Regions from separate parts of the Mus musculus genome. Here region 2 is reported to be linked to region 1. The links are microRNA targets in miRTarBase. Many come from high-throughput screens and were not tested one by one. Region 1 holds a microRNA gene; the other region holds the end of a gene's coding sequence.
What was found. The annotated mature microRNA mmu-miR-222-3p reads AGCUACAUCUGGCUACUGGGUCU and lies in region 1 at 3,573-3,595, shown strand. An mRNA with a match to its seed (bases 2 to 7 or 8) in the 3' UTR can be bound and repressed. Matches are read on the target gene's strand: a 7mer-m8 pairs with bases 2 to 8, a 7mer-A1 pairs with bases 2 to 7 and ends in A, and an 8mer does both.

Region 1 (7,318 bases):
AAACAGTACATACTTCAGGTGGACAGTTTGATGAGTTTAGAAATATATAACATCTGTGCTGATATCATAATTCCAATCACCCATGATCAAGGTAATCACTAGCTTAGTGCTTCCCAACGTTTGTTTTTGTCCTCACTCTGCCCCCTCCCTTCCCCTCTCCATGCATATGTTTACATTTTAAAAGAATATTTAACATGAAGTCCTCCTAGTGGGAGATATTTTATTTAAATTAATGCCGACTTTGTTAAATTTATGAACTGTCTTATGCTCTTCCAGATCCATATATGTGTTTGTGACAGAAGTTGATGGCATTCTTTAGTTAATGGAAGGCTGCTAGCACATGAATCAAAGACTCATTCACACACGCACACACACTTGGGAGTCCCTTAAAATACTAAACTGAAAGCTATAATATGTATGCAGAGAACCTGGGGCACACCTGTGTAGGCCCTATGCTTGCTACTTCAATCTCTGTAAGCTCATATGAGCCTTGATTAGTTGATCTAGAGGGCCTTGTTCTGCTGGTATCCTCCATCTCGTCTCTCTCTTACATATTTTTCTGCCTCCTCTTCTGCAAGCTTCTCTGAGCTCTGAGGGGAGAAATTTGGTAGGGACATTCCATTTACAACTGTGTTTCAAGGTCTCTCTCCATGTTTAATGTCTGGCTGTGGATCTTTGGATTTGTTTCTGTCTACTGCAGGAAGCAGCATCTCTGGTAAAAGCTTAATAAAAAAGGCACTGATCTATGAGTATAGCAGAATGTCATCAGGATTCATTTTGTCACAGTGTTTTTTCATTATTTTAGACCAGGGGTATTTGGTTTTACCCTAGGTTTCTGGGCTAAGTCTCTGGTTCTGGTCACTCAAGTAGTATGGGATTTGGGTCCCATTTTATGGAATAGGCCTTAAATCAAACATTAGTTGGTTACTCCCACAAGGTATGTGCCACCACTGCCCTAGCATATTTTGCAGGCAGAACAGATTGCAGATCAAAGGTTTGTGGCTGGGTTGATGTCTATGTTTCTTTTTGGTAGCCTTCAGAATAATGTGTTATAGACACTAGAATATGGGGTGATGGTTCTATGTAGGTACTAGCTTTACCTCTCCATACTCAATGAGTTGTGTAGGTACTGTCTTCAGCAATGGGGCCTTGTCATCTGTTTTTTTTTTAAATTTTTTATTAGGTATTTATTTCATTTACATTTCCAATGCTATCCCAAAAGTCCCCCACACCCATTCACCCACCCACCCACTCCCAGTTCTTGGCCCTGGCGTTCCCCTGTACTGAGGCATATAAAGTTTGCACAACCAATGGGCCACTCTTTCCACTGATGGCCGACTAGGCCATCTTCTGATACATATGCAGCTAGAGACACGCGCTCGGGGGGTGAGGTACTGGTTAGTTCATATTGTTGTTCCTATATTCTTGGCAAAAGCCTGGATTGTTTTGTATGAGGATTGTATTTTCCCCTTCGGCCAACAACTCAATTGGATGTAACCTGGTTCCAGTACTGAAAGCTTTGTTTGATAACAAGAGATGACCACTTGGCACTGCATCTGCCCCCATTATTTGGAAACTGCATTTGGATTGCAACACTGCCCCTCAAATGTTCCTCAATTCAAGCTGTTTCTCTCTCCATATTTTGTCCCTCAACCATGCATACCCTTTCCTTCCCCACCCAATCCTCCTGTTCCTGCCCTACCCCCACCTCCAGAACATCCATTGAGTCTATTCTAATTCCTGCTCCTAGGGAAATCCACATGCCCCTGCTAGGCTCTTCTGTGAGTCTACAGGCTGTAGCTAAAATGGACTAAGATTTATAAATGATCATCTGTTTAACTGTGGCATTAGAAGTAACCAAACTAAACCCATGTCTCACTCGGTTAGCTTTATGTATAAAAGATGATTTAGGCATAGTTGTATAGTGTTGTGAGATATGCATTTGTGTGCTCTACAAATGCTTTATTTTATAGTAAGGGTAAGAGCTTGCCAAAACTGAACAAATGTTCTCCCCCCCCTCTCCATCTCATTATGCATGCTCTTTTGTAAAATATAGATAAGATTAGTTTATAACTGCTAAAGAGGGGGAGCAATCAAACAAAAGTCTACTTCCTTTGTCAGTCCCACTCTGTCCTCCCTCAAAGAGCAGAGCACACGGTGACTCCCACAAAATTGCTTGTGTTTCTTTACTGCTAACAATTTTGTTCTGAGCCACTTTTCTTTGTAGTATGCGTATGTTTGATTATCACTGTATGCTCCAGCTGCAAGTCTATTGAACTTGTTCTATTTGAAAGTTGGGAGCCTTTCTGAACTTTCTTTCTGATAATAAGCCTCTTAAATTTTTCTAAGTGGATGTTGCAGAATTTTCAACCACAAGAATACAGAACTCTAAGGTGTATATGCTTAGAGCAAAGTCATATGGTTATTTATATTAGAAAATGATCCTAAATATAGGGGGTGGGCAGCCATTGCCCATGGAAGTGAAATGTTGAGATCAAGTCGCTTATTTCAAATCAGACATTTTCCTGCTTTGGTTTTGGACAGTTGCCTCGTTCAACCCCCTAGGGTCCTTTCTCTCCCCCAGATATGTGTATGCATGCTTCTTGCACACTGCATGAATATCAAGCCTTCAGACACACATTTCTCAACTACCTTCAAAACAGTACAATTACTCTCAACTATTTATTATGTTATGGAATGACTCGTTTCTGCTGGATTAATTTCTTATTTTTCTCTACCCTTTTTGTAATCTGATTCTCAGTCCCAAATGTCAGGGGCCTGGGAAAAGATTCAGAAAAGTGTCTCAGTGAGTATTTTTAAGTATTTCTAGGAAAAATTAATGACTTGATCAACAAGGAGCTTACCTAGCTAGTGACTTAGACCTGTATTGTTTTGTAGAGGGACAGCTTAGAACAGACAAACTAATGAAGTACTACTTAGAATAGTTCCATAAATGCTACCTTTTAATAATTGTTTGTGTTGTCATCTATTGGATGGAACACAGGGCCCCTAATGAAGGAGCTAGAGAAAATACCCAAGGATCTAAAGGGGTCAGCAACTCTATAGGAGGAACAATGATATGAACTAACCAGTACCCCCCACCCCCAAGAGCTGTGTCTCTAGTTGCATATGTAGCACAGGATGGCCTACTTGGCCATCAATGGGAGGAGAGGCCCTTGGTATAGCAAAGATCATATGCCCCAGTACAGGGGAATGCCAGGGCCAGGAAGTGGGAGTGGGTGGGTTGGGGAGCAGGGCGGGGAGAGGGTATAGGGGGCTTTGGGGATAGCATTTGAAATGTAAATGAAGAAAATACCTAATAAATAATTGTCTGTGTTTTAGAAATTTAGGAAGTGAATCTAAAGGTAGTTAAGGTTTATATATATTCAGAGCACAAGAAAAATATGCAATTGAAAACTCTTGTATTGTTTCATTAATTTCTGTAATTGACATCTTTTTTTTTCCCTTCCAGAATCTCTCTTCAGAAGGCTACAAATTGTCTAACTCTCAGAAGGATTAGGGTGCCCTCAGTGGCTCAGTAGCCAGTGTAGATCCTGTCTTTGGTAATCAGCAGCTACATCTGGCTACTGGGTCTCTGGTGGCATCATCTAGCTTCAGTTATGGTACCCATAACAAGGTTATTGAAACGATAGCTTTCTGTAGAGCAACACACACATGCACACATAGGCACACACAGTTTTCAGATCATCTAATTTTCCATTATTCATTCATTCAGTTTTGGAAGTCATCCAGAGTTTGATGAAGGATGAAGTCAATTAACATTACAGAGAATATTTGAGCCATTGATTGGTTTTACTTCTTGTCTTCCTCTTTCCCCCATGAAGATATCATTTTCTATCCAGCTGTCTATGTATCATCTTCCTAAATGATATCTATCATGTCCCTATCTGTACTTCCATACATCTCTTGTCCTTTAATAGTCATTTTAAAAATAGCATGATGAATGACCACCAATCGAATTATTTGAGGAAATTTCACCTATTGGTAAGTCACAGGAATTGTGACTTCCATTTTCTTTTCTTATGGTAAATAAGACACATACCAACTTTGACATGTTAATCTGTATGGATAATTTGCAGGCTGAACATCCAGGTCTGGGGCATGAACCTGGCATACAATGTAGATTTCTGTGTTTGTTAGGCAACAGCTACATTGTCTGCTGGGTTTCAGGCTACCTGGAATCATTTCTTCATTGGCCTACTTATCATTGTTTTATCTCTAACATTTCTGAGTCAACTTTTCTAGGAGCCATAAATGAGTATGACTTATCTCATTGAAAAGAACAAAAGAAGGACCTCTATGAAGCTGAGCATCATAGCAAATAATGGTCTCACTGTGATTTCATCCAAAACAGTCTCACATGCCAGACTTGTCAACTGAAGAAACAGAAGAGAAGACAGGTCATATTATTATAAAATGTTTGGGTTTGCTATTTGTTATTGCTGACAGGAAGTAAATCATCTTAGCATACTGCTTCCGACCTCAGCATTTGTCCTCACTTTGGCTTCTCTTCCACCTGCAGGAGCCTGGTCTGTTTCTGTCCCTCCTCTGTCATTGTCCCAAAACTTATATGAAGAACTTTCCAGTCTGCATAGTCTCTGAACATTTTATTATGTTGCAACATCTCACTACACCATTTGTTCGCTGAAAGCATACCCTAGAATTTGACTGTCCACTACTGATGACCATCACTTAGGAAAACAGAGCAGCAGCTGTGTGATGGAATGACAAGCTTATAAAGAACTCAAGAATGGTTTTCCATGATGAGAAGAAGGGAATGGAAATTGCTTCTAAGAAACACAAGTTTTACAATGTGGGTTTTCTATTCTTTTGGTAAATAAATGGAAACTTAGAAATAATTTTAGACAGTAGCAATTCAGGATAAAATTTTCAGTGGATGAGTGGAGGTTTCAAGGGGGAATTTATTGTTATGTTATATATACTAGAGACTTTCATTAAGAAATTAAGTAGTTTACATTAATAGAAAAGGAATACAAGTGAAGCAAAAATCAATGCCTGTGTATAATTAATTGTTTAATAGTCAATTGTCATAATGTAATGAGTTTTTGTCACCTAGTGCTGAATCTAATGAAAATAAAGCAGATTGTACTGTCTGTTCTGTATGAGTTTTAGTTTTCTACCAGTTCATTCCATCCCCTGCCCAAGCCAATGGCCTTATAAAAAGGACCTTATAGTTCATGTATTTGACAACTTTTGAAGTGTGGTAGATAGCTCTACACATCATGGGTCTATTGAATTAAACTCATAGTTAACAAGTGGACAGTGCTTTATTTCATCTCTACACTCATGAAGCTCTTTGAATTCCTTTGTCTGTCACTAAACAAGTGTTGAGTGTACAGCCAGATATAAAGAGAGACCCAAGGTTTCATTCCTTCTCTGAAGTGACATAGAAGTACTTGATGGATTCCCAAAGCATGGCCAAATATAGTGATATGACAAGAAATACATATTGAGACTTCATGTACAGTCCCCAAAGCCCTCATACTTTACTGAGTGACAAGGATGTAAGAGGATCTTTTGTTGCATTTGATTTAGTCCTTATACAAGAACATCCTAGAACACTAGAGTCTAGAATACTGATTCAATCATTTCATATGCTAATAAAGGAGTGGTGGTACTGGTGGTGGTGTAGTTAACTTCCAGAAGTTGGCTAGATGCCAAAACCACCAAGATATGGTTAGTGGGTTAGACCCTTGTGCCTTCTGTTCTTCAGACTAAGTAGGTGACAATATTTTCCATATTTGTAGTATTGGGTATGTAACCTAGACATGTTTCCAAAGTACATTGAGCAATTATTACAACCCCCAGCTCAGTAATCATTTTTAGTCCATTTTTGTACAACTGTAACAAAATTTCTGAGACTTGACTGTTATTGAACAAAAATTATTTTCTAAAAACTCTGGAGGATAAGTCCAAGTTTAAGACATTGATATATATTGTCTGATAAGTAGTTTCTTGATGTTTACTCATGTGGTAAAAGGGAAAAGTGAGTTGAACACTTATCAAAGAATCCTATTCACCAAACCATAATCACATCTAGTCTATAAGGGTGGAGTGCTTACAACAGTCTACCTTCTACCTTACATAAGTATTTCCCATGCAGTTTCAACATCAATATTTAAAGGGTGCATATTTACTCTTCTGTCCCCATAACCCATTCATGTTCTTTTTACTTGTGAAATAAACTTAATTTGCCTCAGTAGCTTCTGAAATATTGATCCAACGAATCTAACCACTTCTTTAAAGTCTTACTTATTACACTTACACTTCTGATCACAATTTCAACATGAATGGGAGAGGTACATTCAGATAACAGCAATCATTAGTGCCCGATTAACCATGAATGTAATGGAATGTCCTCCAACTATGAGGTTCAGAAATCCTCCAGGGTACTAAGTGAATATGGTACTTAGCATGTGACCTAGGGTGGGAATGAAAGCCAGGTGCCTTCCAAAACATCTTAACACATATGTGACTTCACTGAATTGTACCTCACTTCAATCCCTTAAGATAAATGAGTAATGGTAAGTAAACTTCCCTGAGTTCCGTGAGGTATGCAACAACTTACCCAGCATGAGGGGTTCGGAGGATATATACATAGATGGACGGGCAAGTCTAAATGGCAACAAGCAATTGCTATTTGAAGTAGGACTATTTGTGAGATTGAGCTCTTCTGCAGTATGAAGGCATCAAAAGTCAGATAAATTGTAGACACTCAACTGATGTCATGAAACTCCTTGACTATGGAACATTTGTCAAAATGGTCTGAATGAAAACAGAACTGAAGGTTACAAATGATCAGGGACTCACTTTTTCCAAATCTTCTCTTGTCTCTATGAGACAATTGGAAAAATAGATCAGTGTTTAATGGTTTTGTCTAGAAGTGAGAAGCACAGCAATCTGGAGACAGCTATATATCTGTAAATCTCCAACCCAAATATGAAAACAATATGAACCCAGCAATGAAAACACAACTCAATACATGTTTTGCTCCTAGATTGGGCAGATCTACCACTACACTACCATCTTTCACATCTATGAGACCCCTTATAACTTGTGGTTTCTCCAGGCCATGTGTTTCTGCTTTTCTTCTTCCTTCTCTTCTACATCCTCTCCTTTTTCCATTTTGTCCTTCCTCTCTCCCTCTCACCTTCTGCTCCACCTTCCCTTTTTCTGCCCAATCATCAGCTGTCCTTTATTTTACAAATTAAGGTGGGAAGGTTTACAGGAAATCACCTGAGTACTGACTCATTCCTTGTTTGCAACCCCTCACAGG
Region 2 (7,318 bases), not on the chromosome of region 1:
TCGTGGGCCTTCCATAGTGATTTTCTTCGTCTGGAGGATCGATGGTGAGGAAGAAAGGTTTCTAAGAAGTAACCCAGCCCGGCTGCGCGGATAGAGGCGCGGCCGCTTTTTTGCGGCCTGCGGGCGCCCGGGGCGCGGGAACTGCGCGCAGCCACCCTGGCAGTGCGGGACTTGCAAGTAGCCGGCGACATTAAAGACTTTTGGTCTTGAGGCGCCAGCCAGCCCGACCAGCAGTTGCCACAGTGAGCGGGCGGGATCGGGGCTGCGGGACAGTTGGGGAGACTACCGGGCCGTGACCAGGGTAGTGGGGTAGCGGGTAGCTGACGCCGGCGGCCGCAAACCCGCAAAGGGACGTTCGCGGCGGGCGCAGGAGTCCAGGTTCCGGGAAAAGGACCATTTGAACCACCAGATTGTATGTGGAGGCTTGACACAGGCGTTCGGAGGATGGAGGGCACAGTGACTTGGGCGGGGGGGATGCGTTCCTGTGGACGTGCCTGGCGCAGAGAGCATCCACCTCTTCCCGGTCCACCATTCCTAAAATGCAATCTCTCAAAATTCGTATTAAAAAAAAAAAAGCTATGAAAGGAAAATGAGGTTTGTGCAGTAACAGAGGTGTTTTCCCAACTTGGATTGACTTTCTGACTCTTGGTCCTCCTGCAAGCCGCCCTTTATATTATGTTTTAAACAGAACCACAAAAACACCTTTAGTCTTTAATTAAAATAATACCTACTTGAAGGACTTGGCCCAGCGACCAAAAGATCCATTTTCCCATCCCGCACAGGAAGAAAAACCAACTTTTGCTTTATTTTAAAAAAAGAAAGAAAACAAAAGAACAAATAAAAACCCTAGTAAAAAATGCTAGAACTACCTTGTTTATAATCCCCTTTGGGTATGGTGATATAAATGGTAGTATTTCAATGAATAATTTAAACCCAAATTTGGATTTTTCACAATTTACCCATAAAAATTTCTTATAATTTACTTTCTACCTTAACCACATTTTAAAAATAAGAGTGTTATTTAGAGAATTATTTCTGATCAACCTGGCTTTAAAAATGCTCCGTTTCTGTATTTTTTTAAGTAAAAAAAAAAAAAAATTATGCATCTCTGCTGAACAGATATGAAGACACAAGACTCTGTTTTAGTATTTTAACTTATTTTTCGGATGAATTTAACTATAATATAAATATTCAAAATTTGAAGAATTTATGTATGACCAATTTCATTTAACCTACGAGTATGGAAAAAACTTGGTTCTTAAGGATTTGTGTGTTGGGCTACTGTGGACAGGGCTGGTATGGTGGAAGTAAGGACATTGATTTTCATTGCCACTTCAAAAGTGTAAATAGAAAATCTAGAAAAGTCGTTCCATCACTTTCATTTTCAGTACTGCAGATGTGTGATCAGACTACACTTATGTAAGCCCCCCCCTTTGGTTCTCACACACTCATATCCTAGAAAACATAAATATTTTAACTAAATGGGGGCTGCTGACAGTCTTACATGAAAATGTGGCTTTTCCTCTTTCCAGTTAAGCCTTGTCTACCCATATAGGACTAAGATGAAAATGGCCACTAAGAATACCCACACCCCCCACCCCACCCCCATCACCCCCATCACCCCCCCACCCCCAAATCATCTGACTGAAATGTAGGCCTAAATGTAGATGTTTGCCTTCCCATTGTATCTGGGGCATGCCAGGCTGACTAGCTCAGGCTCAGTAAAGCACAGGACAGTTGCACTCAATAAATAACTACGGAAGTTTTCTTTATTGATTGCTTGATGTGTAACAATAATTGGCATCTTTTTCACACATTACAAAAATTATACTTGGCTCAGTATGCAACCTTTTAAGCACAGCCATACTATTTAACAAAGGCGGGGGGGGGGCTAGTCTATCCAATACAGCATTTACAAATGCACAAAACATGCCACTTTGGCTTGTATATTGTCTAGATTAAAAAAAAATCTCTTTTTAACATAAATAAGTTAGTATAATTTTCAGTGTCTTTACAGAGTTATATACACAGGCACACTTCCAAGTTTTTCTCATACACAGGCAATGAAGAAACGCTGTTTAAAGATGTAGTATCCATTTCACTTACTCTACAAGTGTCCTTTTTTCCTTAAAAAAAAAAAAAAAAAAAAAAACAACTTTCCTTGGGGGCAAATTAACAAGTAGGGTGAGAAACTTTGAATTAAAAATTATTTCATTATTTGTGTAAAGTTACAGACTTCTAAAAATATCCAAGGATTTAGGATTATGTTCACTGTGAAAAAAAGAAATAAGAATTTTTCTTAGCAAAAATGATCTGGGATAATCAAATCTAAGAATTCAGAATTCCCTATTATGCACCCCAGATTTTTGCCCAGTGTTACCTGGGGTAATTACTGCTAAACAATAAACTGGTAAATTCCAATTAAAAAAAAAAATTAAGCCATTTCTTGCTCTATAACAGAATCTTCAGAACCTCCAAGTGAGAATAAGCTTCATGTAGAAATAAATAGCAACCATGTGTAGCAATTATTCAAATTTTGATTATTTTAAAAATAAAGGATCCATTCTTACCGAAAGGGACACTACATCTTTAAAGAAAGGAATTCAAACCCTTCCCCCCCCCACCCCCACCCAGGTTGCTTCTCTTTATGCAAGTCAAATATTTTTCTCCTTGCTACAAATTGAAGCAAGTTCTTCACCCCCATGCTGACTCCTCAGCCCCACCCTGCCCTCCCATCCCTAACGTTTATGTGCTACAGAGTAAAAGATAAAAACTATATACACAGGTAGTACAACAAAGCAAATAAGGAACAACCTAATTGCGCAATGCTACATCCAATGCTTTTAGAGGCAGATGGTTTAAGAGTGCCTAAAATTTTAGTGTTATTGTTTTTGCTTTCTCAGTGCTTATACAGGATGTCCATTCAATGGAGTCAGCGATATGTATTTAAATTTTTTCATGTATATCTTCCTTGCTTCATAAAGCAGTGATGTATCTAATAAACAAGGAAATATTCTTAATTCTGCAAAAGAAACAAAAGAATTAGGGAGAAGACACTAGAGTAACATTGCCAAAGTACAGAAATTATTTTGTTGCTAGCTTAGTTAACAAATACTTCAGTAATGATGGATAAATACAGGCACTAAAGGTCTGAAGACTACAGGTATCTCCGATCCTATCTTTGCTGGATTTTTGTTCTGTTTTGTGTGGTATTAGAGTCAGGGTCCTTAACAAGTGGGCAATTTTGTGAAACCCTCCCATGCCCCAGGGGACATTTGGAAATGTCTAAGAGACATTTCTGATTGTCACAGCTTCGGGAAGAAGATTGCTACTGGCATCTTGTGGGGGAGGCCAGAGATAATGCCAAACATTCTAAAATGCACAGGACTGCCTACCACAACAAAGAATAATTTGGCTCAAAATGTCAACTGTGCAGAGGTTGAGAAACTCGCTCTATAAAATCTGGGTCAAAGAGGGTGAGAAAGAAAAGAAATTCAGGAACCATAACACATCAGAGTAGCATATTTTCGTAATCTTGAAAAATACCTGGAAATGCAATTATAAAATTATTCCTCCCCACCAAGTCGAGGAATGTTTACAAAATTGCAATTTCTTACTCATATGCAGCATATCTGCACGAGTGCTTTTGACTAGAGTCTTATGGTTGCTTGGCTAATAAATGCCTCTTTATCAGAACAGGCCAGGTAAAAATCCAGGCGGCTCATCTGAAAAGCTAGGCCAGAAGCCACACAAAGCAACTAAAGCTACAGGTGTGATGGCTAGTTAGAAAGAACTCCCATCCAATTCGACAACTTTATAGAGGGTATAATATGGAAAGTGACTCTAATGGCCATTTTCCATCTCTGAAAAAATGCTATGTCTGTAGAAGGTATATCATGACTTTATGATTTATAAACACAACAAGCTGGAACCCTGTGCCATCTCTATATTCCTTCATTTATTTTTAAATTTCAATAAATGAGGACCTGAAAAGTTAATAATAAACTGTTAAGATCTATTTGTATGCTGGGTTATAAGTGGGCTTTAGAAATAGAGAATGCTGGTTTTCTTCATAAGGAGCTTATAAACTATTATAAGTAGTTAGAGCATATGAATAGTCAATCTATGTAAATTTAGGGGCTGGGTTACTCTAATTAGGCAAGTGGGGTGATGAGATTTTTGACACATGGAAAAATCCACACTTGTGTTGGACCTTCTCAGTTGGTCCTAACATCTACTATCCATTTCCCCTATAAACATCCAAACCGTCCTGTTCCAGCAAATTAGCATACGGTGCTGACGTGTGGGAAGGCTGCTTCCTCTAGCTGTTCATTTAACTTCTGCTTTGTAACCTCAGGGTTAAAATCAATTCTGTGGGAGCATTAGTACTTCTGAACTTTCCAGTCTAATTTTTTTTTTAAGTATGAAGTTCCTTTCTCTCCAAAATTTACCAGCATACAAGGCACAACTTTAAAAAAAAATAAAAAAGTACCCAGAGGTGATGGCACACAACCTCTAATCTCAGCACTCAGGAGGCAGAGACAATACAGATCTCTGTGAGTTCGAAGCCAGCGTGGTCTACAGAGCAATTCCCAGAATAGCCCGAGCTGTTTGTTACACAGAGAAACCCTATCTCAAAAAACCAAAAACCAAAACAAAAGCAAAAGATAAAAAGAACTCGAGCCACGGCAGCTCTATTCACACTCCTAATCAAACGTGCACTATGGGTACCTAGTTTTTCTCTTAAGAACATACATGTAAGTATATATTTGCCATTTTTCTACAGTTCAAATGGTTCAAAATAGGCTATTGGCTCAAAACGAACCTCTGGGAAATGGGTTCTCATGAACTGAGACTGGAAAGGAAAACTGTCATTCCCAGCCTAAGTTTTAGTGGGATTCATAAGGATACGACCGTCCCTATCCTTTGGGGCCTTGGTGGCAAGTTCTTGCTTGGGAACCTCATTCTGATTCCACTTTAAGGTAAATATCTTGGGGTGCAAATACTGCATTATAGTCCCCTCAAGTGATTCCAGCCTTCCCCAGTGTTAATTTTTTTGATCAAGGAAAGTAATTCCTCCTGGCAGGCAACTAATCTGCCAGCAGTCCTGGGGTCTGCAGGCCCCCCGGGGAGCGCAGCCCAGATGGGGTGTCAGTTTTGTGTTCTTCCTCATTAACCCACCGGAGCTGTTTACGTCTGGCGTCGAAGGCCGGGCTTCTTGGGCGTCTGCTCCACAGTGCCAGCGTTCGGGGAACCGTCTGAAACATTTTCTTCTGTTCTGTTGGCCCTTTTGTTTTGCGAAGAAGAATCTAAGAGGGGGGCAAGGGGAAATTTTTAAGAGAACACACACAAACCATCTTTATTATCGACAACAATGGCTGACAGAAGTAGGCCCAAGGGATGAACAACCCACTCACTACCTCCACCCACGACCCCTGGACCCGTCATCCCCGGTAGCATCTAAGGACACAAAATAAGGTTGTTCCCACTAACACAAGGAGTATTCTACACCCCACGTCTCTTCCCCACCCCCATCCCCACCCCCACCCCCCCACCCCAGCCAAGGAGGAGGCAGTTGGTAAACATCCGAACTTTTGTCACGTATCTACAGCTGGCTAGAGGGGAGGAACTGTGATGCGTTCGGCTACGGAAGTTATCACATCTTACTATCTCCGGCTTCTGACTTCAAAATCATAAACAGGGCAAGCAGTCGGATAGGGGGTATGTCAAACCTAAGCTTCAAACAAGTTCGATTTCCCAGAGCTAAAGCAGAACACGCTGGAGAAAGCAAGTGAACAGGGTCTAGTAAAGGGGCGCTTACGGAGACAGACAGACAGACAGACATTTTAAGTTTTCCAAAGAGTCACTACCTTCTGCAGCAGGTCGCTTCCTCATCCCTGGACACTGCTCCGCTAACCCAGCCGGATTGTCTGACGAGTCAGGCATTTGGTCCACCAAATGCCGGTCCTCAGAGTTTGCCTGAGACCCAATTAAAGGCACCGCCTGGCGGCTCCCGCTGACATCCTGGCTCTCCTGCGCCAGCACCTTGCAGGCGCTCTTGGGGGGGCGCGGGGGCCTGTAGTAGAACTCGGGCAAGCTGCCCCTCTCCACCTCCTGCCACTCGTATCTGCCCTCCAGGGGCTTATGATTCTGAAAGTCGAAATTCCACTTGCGCTGACTCGCTTCTTCCATATCCCGGCAGTGCTTCTCCAAGTCCCGGGTTAGTTCTTCATGATTGACCGGGCCGAAGAGATTTCTGCAGGCGGAAGGCTTGGGGTGCTCCGCTTGTCTGGCGTCCATCCGCTCCAGGCTCGGGCTCCCGTTAGACACTCTCACGTTTGACATCTTCCTCCTCGGGCGGGTGTGGACCACCGCCTCGCCTCTCTCCGGAAAAAAAAAAATGAAATAAACAACAAAACCGAACAAAAGCGAAACGCCACGGATGGAGCGCAAAACCCTCTTCGAAGTTCTGCGACTGCACACAGACAGTCAAATGGAGCAGAGCCAGGCGAGCGACCGCCCGAGCCGCAGTAGCGCGCAGGTCTGGGGAAGAGAGGCGCAGGGACACCCCAGCCGCCGCGCAGCTCGAGGCTTCAGTGATCAAGTGTACTGGAGGGCGGGGAAGGGAGGGGAGGAGGCAGGAGGAGGTGGCAAACAGTCGGAGCGTAGGCTGGGGCGAGCCCGTGTGTCCCGCGAACGCAGCCCCTCTCCAAACCTTGCCGCCGCGCGAGTCTCGGAGCCGCGAGTGAGTCGGGACAAGGGATGAGGGGGGAAAACACCCCAAAAGCACGAGCCCCCCTCCTTTTTTAGTTGCCCAATATGGCGGTGGAAGGGAGGCTGACGAAGAAGAAGATGATTGACACTGCAAGTCTATTTAAACAGAGGAGGAGCTCCATTGGTCTCGGCGCCGGGAGCCGCTCCGCCCAGGCTGGCGAGCGCGCTCTTAAGGTGGCCCCGGGCGCGGCGCCGCCGCCTCTCCGCGCTCCCGAGCGCGCCGCCTCCCCGTAGCGCCGCCAGGACATTGGCTGGTCGCGTGACTACTCGGAGGTGTACGACTGCCAACAAACCTGCTCTGGCTGGCCCCGGAGAAATTAAAAATAAGACAAACAAACTAGCCAAACGGCCGGAGAGCTGGGGAGGGGCCAGCGCGGCGGCCAGGCAGGGACCCGGGGATCTAGGTCCCGGCGCTGCAGAGCTGCGCTGGCAGGCGCGTCACCGCTCCCGACTGCGACCTCCAGGTCTTTGCCCGCGAAACCTAGGGCCTGGACCAGTGGGCTCCTAGGTCGCTGGCGGCTTATTAGGAGCTTCGGTGGCTAGT

Region 2: the mRNA of Cdkn1b is a reported target of mmu-miR-222-3p. Seed matches in the 3' UTR shown: 8mer at 2,827-2,834, 7mer-A1 at 2,751-2,757 and 7mer-A1 at 2,672-2,678.

What each region holds. Positions count from the first base shown.
Region 1 is chrX:19,143,178-19,150,495 of GRCm38, reverse strand. Mir222 (microRNA 222) reads left to right here and starts at 3,525; the gene lies at 3,525-3,603. Mir221 (microRNA 221) reads left to right here and starts at 4,108; the gene lies at 4,108-4,202.
Region 2 is chr6:134,919,947-134,927,264 of GRCm38, reverse strand. It overlaps Cdkn1b (cyclin-dependent kinase inhibitor 1B), which reads right to left and starts at 6,864. Exons shown (of 3, transcript NM_009875.4): 1 at 5,871-6,864; 2 at 5,182-5,309; 3 at 1,740-3,022. The coding sequence starts at 6,345. The coding sequence ends at 5,191.